Struthio camelus: one gene and its partner. The protein of the gene in region 2 interacts with the protein of the main gene of each other region in a pairwise test. Links are inferred from orthologs where the notes say so. Each region holds a gene or a part of one and is shown on either strand. Other genes may lie near its edges.

Region 1 (6,923 bases), on a different chromosome or scaffold from region 2:
AGCACATATACCAAGAGCATACAACTTAGTCAGAGTTTGGGGAAAGAAAAGGAGCTAATTTGTTTTACTTTTGAAGATCCTGAACACCGTTCTGGTAGATGTTAGAAAGTAAGCTTTTCCTGGAAGATGAACAGCATACCTCAGGACAGAAGGGCTACGTTCACACTCAATCTCCGTATCGCCTTTATCCATCAGCCTACAGTTCAAGCATGAGATGTGTCTCTATTTTATAACTTCCACAACGGAGCTGCACCTATGCTGCATTATGACTGGGAACTCGGACAATCTAATTGAGGCCAAGGAGACTGGATCAGAGACATGGATCAGTTCACTACCCAGTCCCATTTCTTCCTTTCAAGTTTTCTCTCATGGAAGATACTATGACAGTTATCATCACAATAAAATGTGTATAATTGTGAGAGGACATCCATGCAAAAAGATATACAGAATCTTTAACGTATGCATTTCAAAGCTTTCTAGATTACCATCTTGAAAAGTAACTTGTTTTTTTTTTTTCACAATAAGTTTACTGATCCAAGGTTTAATTAAGCATATTCTAATCAACCCTTTCACTTTTTGAAATACTTTTTGTCACAATATAGCTGTTATTTTGAAATTATTATATGAAAACTAGGCTCATCTAGATAAAAATGCTCTTGCTGACAAGCTGACTTGCTTTTTTTAAGGAATGGCTAGACAAACCAAGTTAAAGCAAGGCAGCAGGTAAAGGTAACTGCCAAGAAGCAATTGTGCACAACTATCCCAGGAGGAAATTACTTGTCCTTGGAAGAAACCAGCCTGAGTTAGAACTGAAAGAAAACTTTCCAGATCTGTCAAATCTATGCTGGTCCTACTTGGCCCAGCTGACATTTCCCAGGTTGTACGTTCACTATGCCTAATCTGACATTTCTATATTTAACATTTTTTAAAATAATATTTAAGAACGTAATATAACAAAATACTTGGGTCACACTTCTGTCATGCTATTTCTCTTCAGTTCTAAAAAAGATTTGGAAAGTGTTACACACCCTAGGCACAATACCCAGTTTTACTCTGCCAAGAAACACTAATGCTAGAAAAATGCTCAGATGACTTCAAATTGTACACACATCTGCCTTTTTTGTTGTTAGGATTCTTTTGTTTGTTTTTGCTTTTTTATCATTACATTTTGAGAATGAGAAAGCAGAATCCAAACCTGCTGCAGAATTATTAGGAATGAATAAACTTAACTGTACCACTATCCAGTGGGGCCACATGTGGTGAAATGCGCAGATACGCATTTACCCTGTAGCTTACTTGTTCTTTCTGCTCCTCAGTGCTTCAGATAGTCTCTAAAACAATTATTTCTGCAACCTAAGTTACACATGGATGCCTCGTCTGCTTACTGAAATGCTATGCTCTCTCCAATTTTTTTACTGTTACTCTTGTTTTAACTACCAACAGTTCAACAAAGGCACACTTGCAGCTAGGCAGAGAAAGTCAGAGGCACCAACTTGTATGTAGTTTTTTGCTGAGTCCTGATGATACTGTACATGTCCGTACGGACTTGTAGTTTGCTGTTAAGCTTATAAAATTACAAACGTTTTAAAAGCTTAAGAGACTGATGTCAGGAAAGAGGAAATTCAGAGTTTTGTTTTCTGGAAAACTCAAAGTTTCCGTCATAAAAGTTATATGGGAAAAACTGAGAGTTATTATCAGATAAGCTGTGGACCAAAATCAGAAAGATGCAAAAACGTTAACTTCTCGCACAAACAACTCCCCTGAAGTCCCTCGTACAAACGTCGATAGCTTGCTAGCGCAGAGGCCGGCAACTCATGACAGCAGCGTTACAGCTTGGCCGCTGAGAGCACACAGGCTCCTTCCCAGGGCGGCGGCTGCGGGGGCCGGGCCGGGCGGCGGCAGGACGCGGGCTCGGCGGCGGGGGCGCCGCCAGGACCCCCCGGGGCCGGCGGGCGGGAGGCGGGCGCGGCGAGCCCCCGCGCACCGGCGCTGACAGCCCGTCTGCCCCGAGCACCTACCTGAGCCCGGGAACACTACTTGGCTCCGCGTCTCTAAGCCGGGGGTCTGAGGCACAGCGGTCAAGAAAATAAAACAATAACAATAAAAAAAGAAAGAGAGAGAGAAAGGGAAGCGCACAAGAAAGGCACCCCCGCCCCCCGCGGAGCGGAGCCCTCGCCGCCTCCCGAGGCCGCACTCAGGCCGGCGGCGCAGCCAGGGCCGTCCGGGGCCCGGCTCCCCGCCCCGCCCCGCCCCGCGCCCGGGGCGGCCGCGGCCCCGGGGGCCGGACGGAGCAGCCGCGGCGGCGGGGCCCGGCCCGGCCCGGCCCGGCTCGGCTTGGCCCGGCCCGGCCCGGCCGCCGGGCGGGAGGCGGGGCCCGGGGCGGCGGGGGCGGGGAGGGGGAGGGGGCGCACCGCCAGCCTCAGCGGCCGCCCCGGCCCCCTGCCCCGAGGCGGCGCGGCCCGCGGGGAGGAGGAGCCCGGCGGGGGGTGACTCGGCGGCCTGCCGGCGGCGGCGTCCCCAGGCCTGGGGACCGGGGGCCCGGCTGCGGCCAAGGTCGCGGCCGGGCGGCGGCCCCCACAGGCCAGGTCGCGGGCCGGCAGGGCTCCGCCGCCCTCCGCGGGTGGCGGAGCGGCAGCGCCAAACTTCTGCCGCCCCGGCCAGGGCGGCGGCAGCCCCCGGCGCCCCGCCCCGCCCCCCGCCGTGCCCGGGCTGCGCCGGGCGCGATGCTCACCTGGGGCCGGGGGGCAGCGCGGGCGGAGGCGGCGGCGCAGCTGGTGCAGGATGACGCCGAGGCCGATGCAGTAAACCCTGAGCAAGGGCACCGCTCGCGCAGACAATAGCGACATGGCCGCCTCCCGCCCCTGGCGGCGCGGGGAGAGGCGAGGCGAGGCGAGGCGGGCAAGGCGCCCCGGCGGGCGAGCGAGCGAGCGAGCGGGTTGTGTGTGTGTGCGCGCGCGGGTGTGCGTGTGCTGTGCGTGCGCGGCCGCGGCCGGGGCTCTCCGCCGCCTGCGGGCGGGGCGGGCGGGGGCGGGGGCGCGGCGCAGCGCAGCCCCCGCCCGGCGGAAGGGAAGCGCCGCCGCTGTCACCGCCGCGCCGCGGCTCCCGCCCTTCTGGGCATGTGCGGGGGGGAAGGGCCGCGCCGCGCCGCGCCGGCGGCGGAGAAGCTGCTGCCCCCGCGGGTCCGGTGGCGGCGGCCGGCCCGGCTGCCCCGGGCGGCAGGGCCCGTGCTGCGCTGCGCCGCGCTTCGGCTGCCTGACGGAGCTGCGGTGGGGCAGCCGGCGCAGTCCTTCCGGGAGCCGGTCGGCGAGCCGGGGCGGCCTCTCGTTTGCGGAGCCGGAGCGGCAGCGGGTCGCCCGGGCCGAGGCGAGGCGCCCCGCCGGGGAGCGGGCGCGGCAGCCGCGGTGAGGGGCGGCGGGGCCGCCGCGCCGGTGGCCGCCAGCTGGGCGGTCGCCACGTGAACAGGCAGAAGGCCCTGGCGGGCTCGGTGACCGCGCGCCGCCGTCGGGGCGACTCGGGTTTGCTTGGCTGAGGCGCGGCCGAGCCGCTCTTGCTTAACCCCGTAGGCAGCGCGTATTCCAGGCAAAGCTCGCGTCGCCTTGGACGTCAGAAAACTTAACTTCTCCCGTTGTTGCAGCTTTGGCCGTTGCAGAAAAGTTCTGAGTATTTTGAATGTAGGTTCGCTGCAATGTAGCCTTAAGAAGTCTTGCTGCATTCGGAGCCTGAATTTTATACCAGCCTCATGAACACATAACTTTACAGCAGTTGCGTATCAAGTGCTTCATCTTGAAACTTTCATGTTTTCAATTTTAAACCCTCAGTCTAATTTTTGAGATGCCAAGCACTTGAGTCAGAACAGCAAATCCTACTTACCAACCCTTTTGGTAGACTGGGTTTAGGCTACTGGAAATGCACTGCTTAACATTGTTTTTCACTCACAGAGCTGGTATTGTTCCATAAATACAGATGAGTAACAACATCGATACAAAGCAAGAAGTACGAACAATAGTTTCACAAGAGTATTACCTACACATTCGATTTGATGTAAGTAACACTTTGTCTTTGGGGATGACATGGGCAACCGTACAAAGCTCTAGAAATGCATTTGAAGTGCAATCTCTTTTGAAAAATAAACTTACCGTCTAGGAGAGATTTAATTAACATAGTTTTTCATTGTCAAGTCAGATTGTTCAGCAGAATTGGCTGTCTAATTTCAGTCATATGCATAAAATAAAAGCTTATTGTGTAGTTCTCTAGGACAAAAATACAGAGTTAATATTGTGCATCTCTGATGAATTTCTTCCCTTTTTTCTATTAACGCATGAAATTAGACATACATAAGTAATAAACAGAATGTTGTAAATCTGCTTGCATCAATGAAGGATTCATTCTAAATGTATATTGTTCTCAACCAAGAATGAAGTGGTAAAATGAGCATCACAAAAAGACATGAAAGAGGAAACACTGACATTTAGTTAAGGTGTATTATTTTCTCAACTTATCTCGGGAAAAATCAAATCTTGATTCCTTTATGCTGCTTTATAGCCTTTTCTCAGAATTATAATGTTAATGAAAGCCCTTTGCAACATTAAACTGTGCTACTTGCCTGCAGTGTATTTACATGATCTGAGTATAAACAGGAAAGTTCTCAGTCAGGTTTTCTAGTATAGTGAAATCAATCGATGCATATTCAAGCTATGAAAATAAATATGTTTCTGTCCTTTTCAGACAGAAATAAAGAATTAGACTAAGTGGGGAACAACTGTTTGGTTAATACTATGATTTTATTGGTCCCACTATTTTTTCTGAAGGTGTTAAAACTAATTTTCAGTCCTCCGTGGTTCATGAGTAGAGAGCTTTAGAGAAAGAATGAGAAAAAAATTTTTCAACACTATAGCTCAGTCAGTTTTTCTCCAGGCTGGTGGGAGGCAAAATGGAGAAGGAAGGAAAATATAAAGAAACATTTAGTGCTTAATGCTTTTCAAAAATTTTCTTATAATACATTCTACTTTTAATTGATATTTTCTTTTCCTTGATTTTTTTTAATAGTTTTCATCTTTTATTGACATATTGTTTTTTTTTTCTCCGTATAATCATTAGCTGCAAAGTTCTGAGTAGTTGGAATGGAATCTTGTCCCTCTACTTTAGATACCTCCCTGAGACACTACCTCAAAGAAATTTTGTATGTTTGACCCCTGGAAGGGAGGAAAGGTGTAATCTAGTTACCTTGACTTTCCTATACAGTTGGTGGATAGAAAGAGGCACTTCTGAAGACCTGCAGAAGATGACTGCTTCCTCTGAGGTACTTAGGGCGCTTCCTTCTTTCCACTGACTGTGAAGTGATCTCTTGCCGCCAGTGGGCAAAGCCAGCTTGTGGTTAGAACACAGATATCCTCTTGGAAAGTCATTGGAAATGCTAGTAATGCTCCATCTCCACATGCTCCATCTCCACATGCGCCAACCCATCTGCAGGACTGGCACTAATGAAGCAGTATGTGATCATAGTGTTTCCACCCACCTTTTGCATAAAGATGCATTAAGCTGTAAGAAAGGAAGTGGATGATGTTGTTGCTAGGCTCTAATTAAACCCTTAGCTCAAACTTCCCAGCAGCATGGCATAATCAACCACTGTAAGGTCTCATGGACGACAGCTGCTGTAGTTAAGGTCCTGTGCAGCCAGGAATGAGAGGCTATGTAAAAGCAGACAGGGTGGGACCCAAGGTTAGCCTAGCAAGTCAAATGCTCTCTTACACAGGGTGGATGGTGAGGGGAGTGAAATGGAGTCCTAGCCTATTTTGAGTGTTTATCCTGTGACGACTTCCTATGCAACGCACCTCTCTCAGGAATATGAGTTTGGTCCCTTAGTTTTGCTCCCTTCGAGATGAGACCAAGTCAAGCAACTTGTTGCATTCACCACACAGCGGTTCAAATTCAGTAGGAGAGGTCGCTAATGCTTTTTGCCTGAATCATGGCATAATAGTTAGGGCAGTTGCTTAAGACGTAAATGGTGTTAGATCAATCCCTCTCAAACAGTAAATTTAGAATTCTACTTGCTTGCTTAATTTGATATATGCTTTAAGTATTTGGCACGTATGCCACACCAGAAGACATAATTCTGACTGCTGCTAATTTTTCAGGCTTTGCCAAGGGATTTAAAAGCCTGTCTTCCTAAAGCTGGATTGTAATAGAACTTTAGGCAAGAGACAAGTGCCTGTCTTCCCAAAACAGGATCTCCTTAACATGTGTAGGTGAATAAAGTTAAATGCCTGAGGAGCTTTCAGGTTCAGTGGGGAGGTGCCCACAAGATTAGGCGGTGCTGGGAAATAGGATCGCTGTCTGGGATTCATGTAGGTTTTTGAGCACCTGCAAACAATTTTGACAGACTGCATACTCTTAATCTTTTTTCCCCTATATGCAAAAAACAATCGCTTTAGATACCCCCAAATTAAGTATCATCATGCCTGATATTCTAATAGGCTGCAGGCTCCTGCACTGGAGCATAGCAGAATCATATAAAGCACTACAGTTAGCTCTTCAGCACCCTCATTAGTAGCTTGGGAAGGAGAAAGAAACTTTGTTGCCAAGGGGAGAGCTGTCTGAAGCTACTAAAGAGAAAAGCCCTGAAACCCAGACCAGAATCTTCTACTGTGGGAAATTATCAAATGAAATCTGTTTTTTCTTTAGTAACAGTGGGGAAGATAGTAAATGGGTGTAAGAGCTACCTTCTGTATAACAGCATCAGGGTGATGGCATTTGTTCATGAAGACAGGGAAGTTCTGACCTTTCTCAGCCTTTTTCAGATATTTCTCTTTTTGAGAAAATAATGTCATTGGGAAAGGTGACCCTTGTCAGGTAGCTATGCTGATAAGAAAGTGAAGCACAGGAGCAGAGTAAACAGAAGAAATCTGAGTTTTGTAGCCATGGGA
Region 2 (6,737 bases):
TTCTCTCTTTTTTTTAATATATGAGGCACACACAGATATGTGGGTGTGTATGTACATGTATATATGTATATACACACACACAAGAGAATCCATCTATAATATAGCTTAAAAAAACAGTAGAAAAGCCTGACTGCCTATGAGGCCTGAACAGATTCAGAGAATGTTCACTGAACAAGTAGGAAAGGAATTAAAATTTCACACACACAAACTCTGCAAAAAAGTAATTCACATGGAGGAAAAAAATGGAGTTATGAAGTCTCAATGTGTAATCCTGACTCCACAGAAAACTCCTTATGGGTACCAGTCAAAATCTTATCTCTGCTTCCATGATCCCATTCTAACATGGGACTTTCAGATAACACTACACATGCTCTATTAAAAAGTTTCAAAAAAGCTAGTCAGGCACACTGATCAAGGCACGCTTAAACCCAAGGTCTTTCGTTACAGATTCAAAGAGTCATCAAGGACCATTTTGCAAATAGATGACAGATACATAAAGCAAACAGTTAAGACCTCCTCTGTATTAAAGATTAACAGAGAAATAGAACACAAACCTGGAATCAAACTTGGGTGTGACAATGGAAGTACCTCCCCGAGTGCAGACATCAACAATTCTACCAGTAGCTGGAGTGATAAAGTTGTTTCTGCTTGATCTGCTAAAGAAAAAAAATCCTGCTCTGAAGAATCATTTTAACATATGTCCGAGCCCTGTCTTATCATAGCCTCAAATGAAGGGGCCACCACAGAAAAAAGTCAGAGGTTCTTACTGATTAAGGGTGAACCTCAAAGCTAGGGATAAGCTGATCCTCAGAGGAGAGGAAGTTGCCTGTCTTTCATTCACTGTCAAATCACTGATTGATTTAGTAGGCTGATGCATAGGCATGCCATGCTGTAGAAACATACTCCATTCCACTTGAGTTTTATGAGCAACACACTTACTCTCCTTTTCTGAAAGCCAGTGAAAAGGCTATCTCCTGATACCTTTTACTTATGCGTTTCACTCTTGTTGAAGGAGCTCTTCTGCTCTTGGTCACAGGCACTTTTTTGGTGGATGCCTTCACCTGAAACACATGACTCAAATCAGTTATATTATCACCAGACAGCTGAGCCCAACATGAATAAATGCTTCCACACAAAGAGTTTGACTTAATAGCTTCCTTTTTAAGGCACAAAAAGCCTGAACCAAATGCCATACAGACTTCTGTAGTCTTTCACATTTTAATATCACTCATATGTTCCCCCCCTAGCTCTGCTGTAGATTAGGAGGACACTGGACTACATGAACTTAATCTGACCCAGTACTGTCGATATATTCATTATTGCCCACAGCAAAAGCAGCAGGAACTGGCACTGGTAAAGAATTTTCACTACGGTTAGAAAAGTCTCTAGTATAGTGAGTATCACACTCTGTATACAACCATAAATACATTAGCTCAGAGGAAAGGGATGAAGAGTGAGACCCTGCAGATCTACAGAAGCAATAGAAGCAGGGATCAAGCATTTGCACAAAGCTAAGTAACTGCACTCCAAAAGCAAATGAAAAACCAAGATCCCCATCACTAGACATTCCAGGAGACAGTGGCTAGCTATTTTCAAGTCCTCTTTGAAGTGCCGTGAACACCATTATCACAGGCATCATCTCAGTGAAATAGTTTACATCTTGAGAACAGAGTCATCATAGCAGTAGCTATTTACCTTCCCAGTTCTCGGATTAATATTTTCAGCTTCTAGTTCTGCAAGAGATTGGTTATCATGTTTTGTCTTCTTTGCTTGAGGGTGTAAAGGAGACTCTGCTTCTTCTTCAATAGCTTCAATACCCTGTTTAGATTTTTCAGCTAAAAAGAGAAAGTGTTATCTAAGCTGAAAGCAATAAGTCATGAGCTAGCAGTTGGGTCAGAAAATAAACAATGATAAATATTTTCGGCAACAATTTGCTCCTGAAATCCAAATCCCAATAAGAGCAGCTGATAGAACACTATTATTTAAAGTTTTGTTCAAAAAATTAAGTAAAATTACTTCTGGTAACAGGAATAAAGGAAGAATCATTTTATTGTGTTTAAACATGTTGAAGGCTGTAAATAGGAGTTGAATTATCATTTACAGTACACAGACCATTGTAAGCTTTCATCTTATTGAACTCATCACAATCCTTAAAAGCAAACTGACCTTTCTTGATGATTTTTAAAGGAGTCTGGATAACTTCCGCTGTTAACTTGTTTATTTCTGTTATTTCCAAGTCTACCTACAATTAAAAACAGTAATGATAACATTAGAATCATCAGTACAGCATAACTGATGAGCCAAAGTCGTGGAGCAAATGCTTAATTATTCTAGAACAGAAATACATCCATATTCTTCTGTTGTGCTCAAACTGGGAGCTTTCATGTTATTCTAGAAGTGACAGCAACTTAACAGGAGTGCATAACATTCAGTACTAAGGAGTCTCATTTGGCAGCTACAAGTATCCTTCTGCCTCTTCCCTACAGCTTGGTTTTAAGATGCTTTACAGAAAAGTGCATATTCTCTCAGGGATCTAAGAGTGAAGTTAAGCAGATCAGGAAAGCTAGCAGCGCACCCTAGGCAAAGAACAGTATGGTCAGACAAAGCCTACAATAAATACAATAGATGTTTATTACCTTTAGGTCTTAACACAGTAGCTGTGAAAGTGTTTATGCAGTCTGTGTTATTGTAGCCTTTGTACAAATTCAAGAAACCCTTCTCTCCTACAGGGGCATAAAATGTCCTCAGGAAAACATAGTATTTATGTTAGACACCTACCGTTGCTGCCTCTTCTAAGACCTTTTTGCTTCCTCCTTTAGCTACAAGGAAAACATTAAAAATCAATATACATCCAGGTCAGCTTATACAATGCTTTAATACTTCACCAGAATGGTGGAAAAACACAGCACAAACAAGTTTCCTTGGCAGCAAGTGAGCAGCCTAAGGCAAGAAGAGAGGAGTGCTTCCAAGAGTACTCGCAGGCTTTTCACTCACGAGACTTAAGGCACCGTGGGATTCAGTTTTCTCTGGCACGGTTTTTCCTTCCCCCTCCCTCTAGCCTAAGGGAAGCCCCGCACCCGGCGCCCCCCCCCGTACCGAAGTAGTCGAGCCAGTTCATCTCGCGCACGGCCAGCGGCAGCCGGAGGATCTCGATGTTGTACAGGTCCTCCACCTCCTTGACCAGGCGCTCCCCGTTCGTCCGCAGCCGCTCGGCCCGGCTCTGAACTGCGGGGACGCGCACGGCCTCACGCCGCCGCCGCCACCCCCGGGCCGCCCCCCACCACCACTGCGGCCCTCCGCGGAGCCGGCCCGGGCCCCCTTCCCCGAGACCCCCCCCCCCACCGCCACCCTCCGCGGAGCCGGCCCGGGCCCCCTTCCCCGAGACCCCCCCCCCCACCGCCACCCTCCGCGGAGCCGGCCCGGGCCCCCTTCCCCGAGACCCCCCCCCCCACCGCCACCCTCCGCGGAGCCGGCCCGGGCCCCCTTCCCCGAGACCCCCCCCCACCGCCCCCCTCCGCGGAGCCGGCCCGGGCCCCCTTCCCCGAGACCCCCCCCCCCACCGCCACCCTCCGCGGAGCCGGCCCGGGCCCCCTTCCCCGAGACCCCCCCCCCCACCGCCACCCTCCGCGGAGCCGGCCCGGGCCCCCTTCCCCGAGACCCCCCCCCACCGCCCCCCTCCGCGGAGCCGGCCCGGGCCCCCTTCCCCGAGACCCCCCCCCCCACCGCCACCCTCCGCGGAGCCGGCCCGGGCCCCCTTCCCCGAGACCCCCCCCCCCACCGCCACCCTCCGCGGAGCCGGCCCGGGCCCCCTTCCCCGAGACCCCCCCCCCCACCGCCACCCTCCGCGGAGCCGGCCCGGGCCCCCTTCCCCGAGACCCCCCCCCCCACCGCCACCCTCCGCGGAGCCGGCCCGGGCCCCCTTCCCCGAGACCCCCCCCCCCACCGCCACCCTCCGCGGAGCCGGCCCGGGCCCCCTTCCCCGAGACCCCCCCCCCCACCGCCACCCTCCGCGGAGCCGGCCCGGGCCCCCTTCCCCGAGACCCCCCCCCCACCGCCACCCTCCGCGGAGCCGGCCCGGGCCCCCTTCCCCGAGACCCCCCCCCCCACCGCCACCCTCCGCGGAGCCGGCCCGGGCCCCCTTCCCCGAGACCCCCCCCCCACCGCCACCCTCCGCGGAGCCGGCCCGGGCCCCCTTCCCCGAGACCCCCCCCACCCTCCGCAGCGCCCCCCCAGGCGCCCTTCTTCCAGGCCCCCTCCCCCTGAACCCCCCCCAAGGCCCACCACCCCCCCAGGCCGCCCCCCTCCAAACCCCCTTCTCCCAGGGCCCGCCGCGCCCCCCAGGCCCCCTCCCCCTAGACTCCCCTCAGGGCCCGCCGCCCCCCCAGGCCCCCTTCTCCCAGGGCCGGCCGCGCCCCCCCCCCCAACCCGCGGGCCCCCCCCCACCCTCGCGGTCGAAGTCCTTGAGGAAAGCCGCGAGCTTCCTGCTGCGCGCGGTGGCGCCCGCCCTCCTCCGCGCGGGGGCCATGGCGGCCGGGCCGGGTCGAGCCTGGTCGGTGGCGGAGCCGGTGTCGGTGCGGCCTAGCGGAGCCCGCCCAAGGCGCGTTTAAACCCAACCGCCGCCGCGGGCGCGGCCAATCGGGGCGCGGCGCGGGCGGCGCGCTGACGCAGCACGGCGGCGGCGCGCTGACGCGGCGCTGACGCAGGGCTGAGGCGGCGGGCGGCATGGCGGCGGCGGCGGTGACGATGGCGATGGCGGCGGCGCTGCGGGCCTGCGCGGCGGCCGTGGCGCGGCAGGAGGCGGCCTGGCGGGCGGCGCTGGCCGCCTGGGCGCCGCTGCTGGGCTCGCTGGGCGGGCTGGCGGCGCAGGCGGGCGCGGCGCGGCGGCTGGCCTGGCGCGGCTCGCCGCTGGGCGCCTTCGGCGGGCTGCGGGCGCGGCTGTGGCGGAAGCAGCGCGGCGCGGCCGAGGCGGCGCTGGAGCAGCTCGGCGGGCGGCGGTGAGGCGGCGGCGGCGGCGGCGGGGGGGGCGGCGGGGGCCGGGTCGGGCCGAGCCGAGCCGAGCCGCCGCGTCCCGCGCAGGGCGGAGCTGCGCGCCGTGCGGGACGCCGTGGCGGCCGCCGTGGCCGCCGTGCTGCGGCTCTACGAGGAGCGGGCGGCGGAGCTGGGCTTGGCGGCCGCCCTGCGGCGCGGGCCGCGCTGCCCCTCGCTGGCCGAGGTGCTGGAGGGGCTGCAGGACGTGGAGCGCTACTACCGGCACCTGTATCCTTCCCCCGTGTCGCGCCCTCCGGTGCCCCCCTCCCCCGGTGCCGTCCCCCCTCGGTGTTGGTCCTTATCGGGCAGGAAGGTATCTGGAGAGCAAGCTGCTGCTCCTGCGCATCAGCTGTGACAGCCTGGCGGACATGGAGGCCCTGCCGCAGTCCTGGGAGAGGATCCTGGAGCGCTACAAGCCAGACGTCGTTCAAGGTAGTCCCCCGCGTCTTGGTGCGGCTCCGTGCTGGCGGTGGGGCCCGGCAGGTGCCCTCGCTGCACGTCCCGCTGCAGTGGGTGAGCTCGCTGCACGTGCGCTTTCTCTTTGCAATGTGCTCCGAGATCTTGCCTGTGATTTATGGGGTAAATGAAGTGGCATCATTGTGCATAGCAAAGCAGAGAGCTTGGTGCTTTCTTTTACTTGGTCTGCCACGATAACGTCGCTTAAGATTCTTTGTTATAGCTTTTAGAAATAAGTTAATTTTCTGTGGACGTACAGTACAAATAAAATGTACTAAACTAATTATTTCTTTTTTTTTTTTAGATACACTTCTTAAGATTTCTCTTTTTCTTGACAATCAGTGAAAGCTGTGCTGCTAACCAGGCTCCTGAGGGAGGACAGGAGACACTGATGTTGATCATCTCCTATAAGTATCTGGTATAAGACTTGTGATATAGCCATGAAGAGGAGGATGAGCTGAGTAAGCGTTTCTCATGTCTTTTGGAAGCTAAGTTGATACGTGGCCTAGGAAATGCTTGGGCTGTTCCATTTTCAAATGGAAATGGACTTAGTATCCAAAGAAGACAGCAGGAAGTGAGTTGTCATCTCCACCTGCAGAAGCTGGCCGTTCTCTTGTGTACCCTGGATATTTTGCATACCGAAAGAAACGTTGAGACTCATTAAGTTGCAAAGAAATGGTACCGATTGTATTTAGAAGGGTCCTGCAAATAAATAAATACATAAATAAAACATAGTGTCCTGCACTTTGATATCACGTAAGAGAGATTTTTAAGTACTGTCCTTACAAATAAATAAAAGATGCCGAATCAGGGCTTGGAAACTCTTTGTGCCTTGTGCCTCTGAGCAACGTATTTTCTTTCGTCCCATCTTCCATACAATCCCACGTCTTCCCTCAGTCATCTGTGCAGTGAAGAGGAAAGCTAATTTGGTCTGAAAATGTGTTCGTGGAGGTACACGGATAAAGCTTAGACACGTGAGGTCTAGCAAGTGCAGTTTTCAAGAGTAAGAGTGTACTTTGTAGCATTGTTAAGGGAAGTTTTGTTACTACGTGGCCTTCAGAGCTGTATGATGTTTCGATGATGATCCTAGATGAGCTTAACAATCCATTTCTTTCATATAAAGACTGAAGGACATAAACTCTTTGTAGTTGAACACGAGTTAGGTTCTGCACCCTTGTCAAATTAATCCACAATTTATCAAACATCCTTGTGTAAAGAGATGGACATAAGGCTTTCTTCTTCCTCACGGGGGC

What was found.
Region 1: the proteins of AIRIM (region 2) and ZBED1 interact in binary tests that used the Homo sapiens proteins (3 or more experiments, as listed by UniProt). The two-hybrid records come from large-scale screens. The link is inferred for Struthio camelus from reciprocal best matches to the Homo sapiens genes AIRIM and ZBED1.

The regions. Positions count from the first base shown.
Region 1 is NC_090942.1:146,894,704-146,901,626, reverse strand, and holds the start of ZBED1 (E3 SUMO-protein ligase ZBED1), read right to left. Parts: upstream 3,013-6,923; 5' UTR 2,847-3,012; coding exon of another isoform or gene 2,732-2,846; intron 2,224-2,731; exon of another isoform or gene 2,019-2,223; intron 1-2,018.
Region 2 is NC_090964.1:10,953,070-10,959,806, reverse strand, and holds AIRIM (AFG2-interacting ribosome maturation factor), read left to right. Parts: upstream 1-4,749; coding exon 4,750-4,994; intron 4,995-5,076; coding exon 5,077-5,256; intron 5,257-5,341; coding exon 5,342-5,460; intron 5,461-5,788; coding exon 5,789-5,829; 3' UTR 5,830-6,214; downstream 6,215-6,737. Other genes in the region: CDCA8 (borealin), read right to left, coding at 555-656, 982-1,061, 1,696-1,835, 2,167-2,242, 2,779-2,819, 3,097-3,225, 4,444-4,525. UniProt on the Homo sapiens protein: Part of the 55LCC heterohexameric ATPase complex which is chromatin-associated and promotes replisome proteostasis to maintain replication fork progression and genome stability.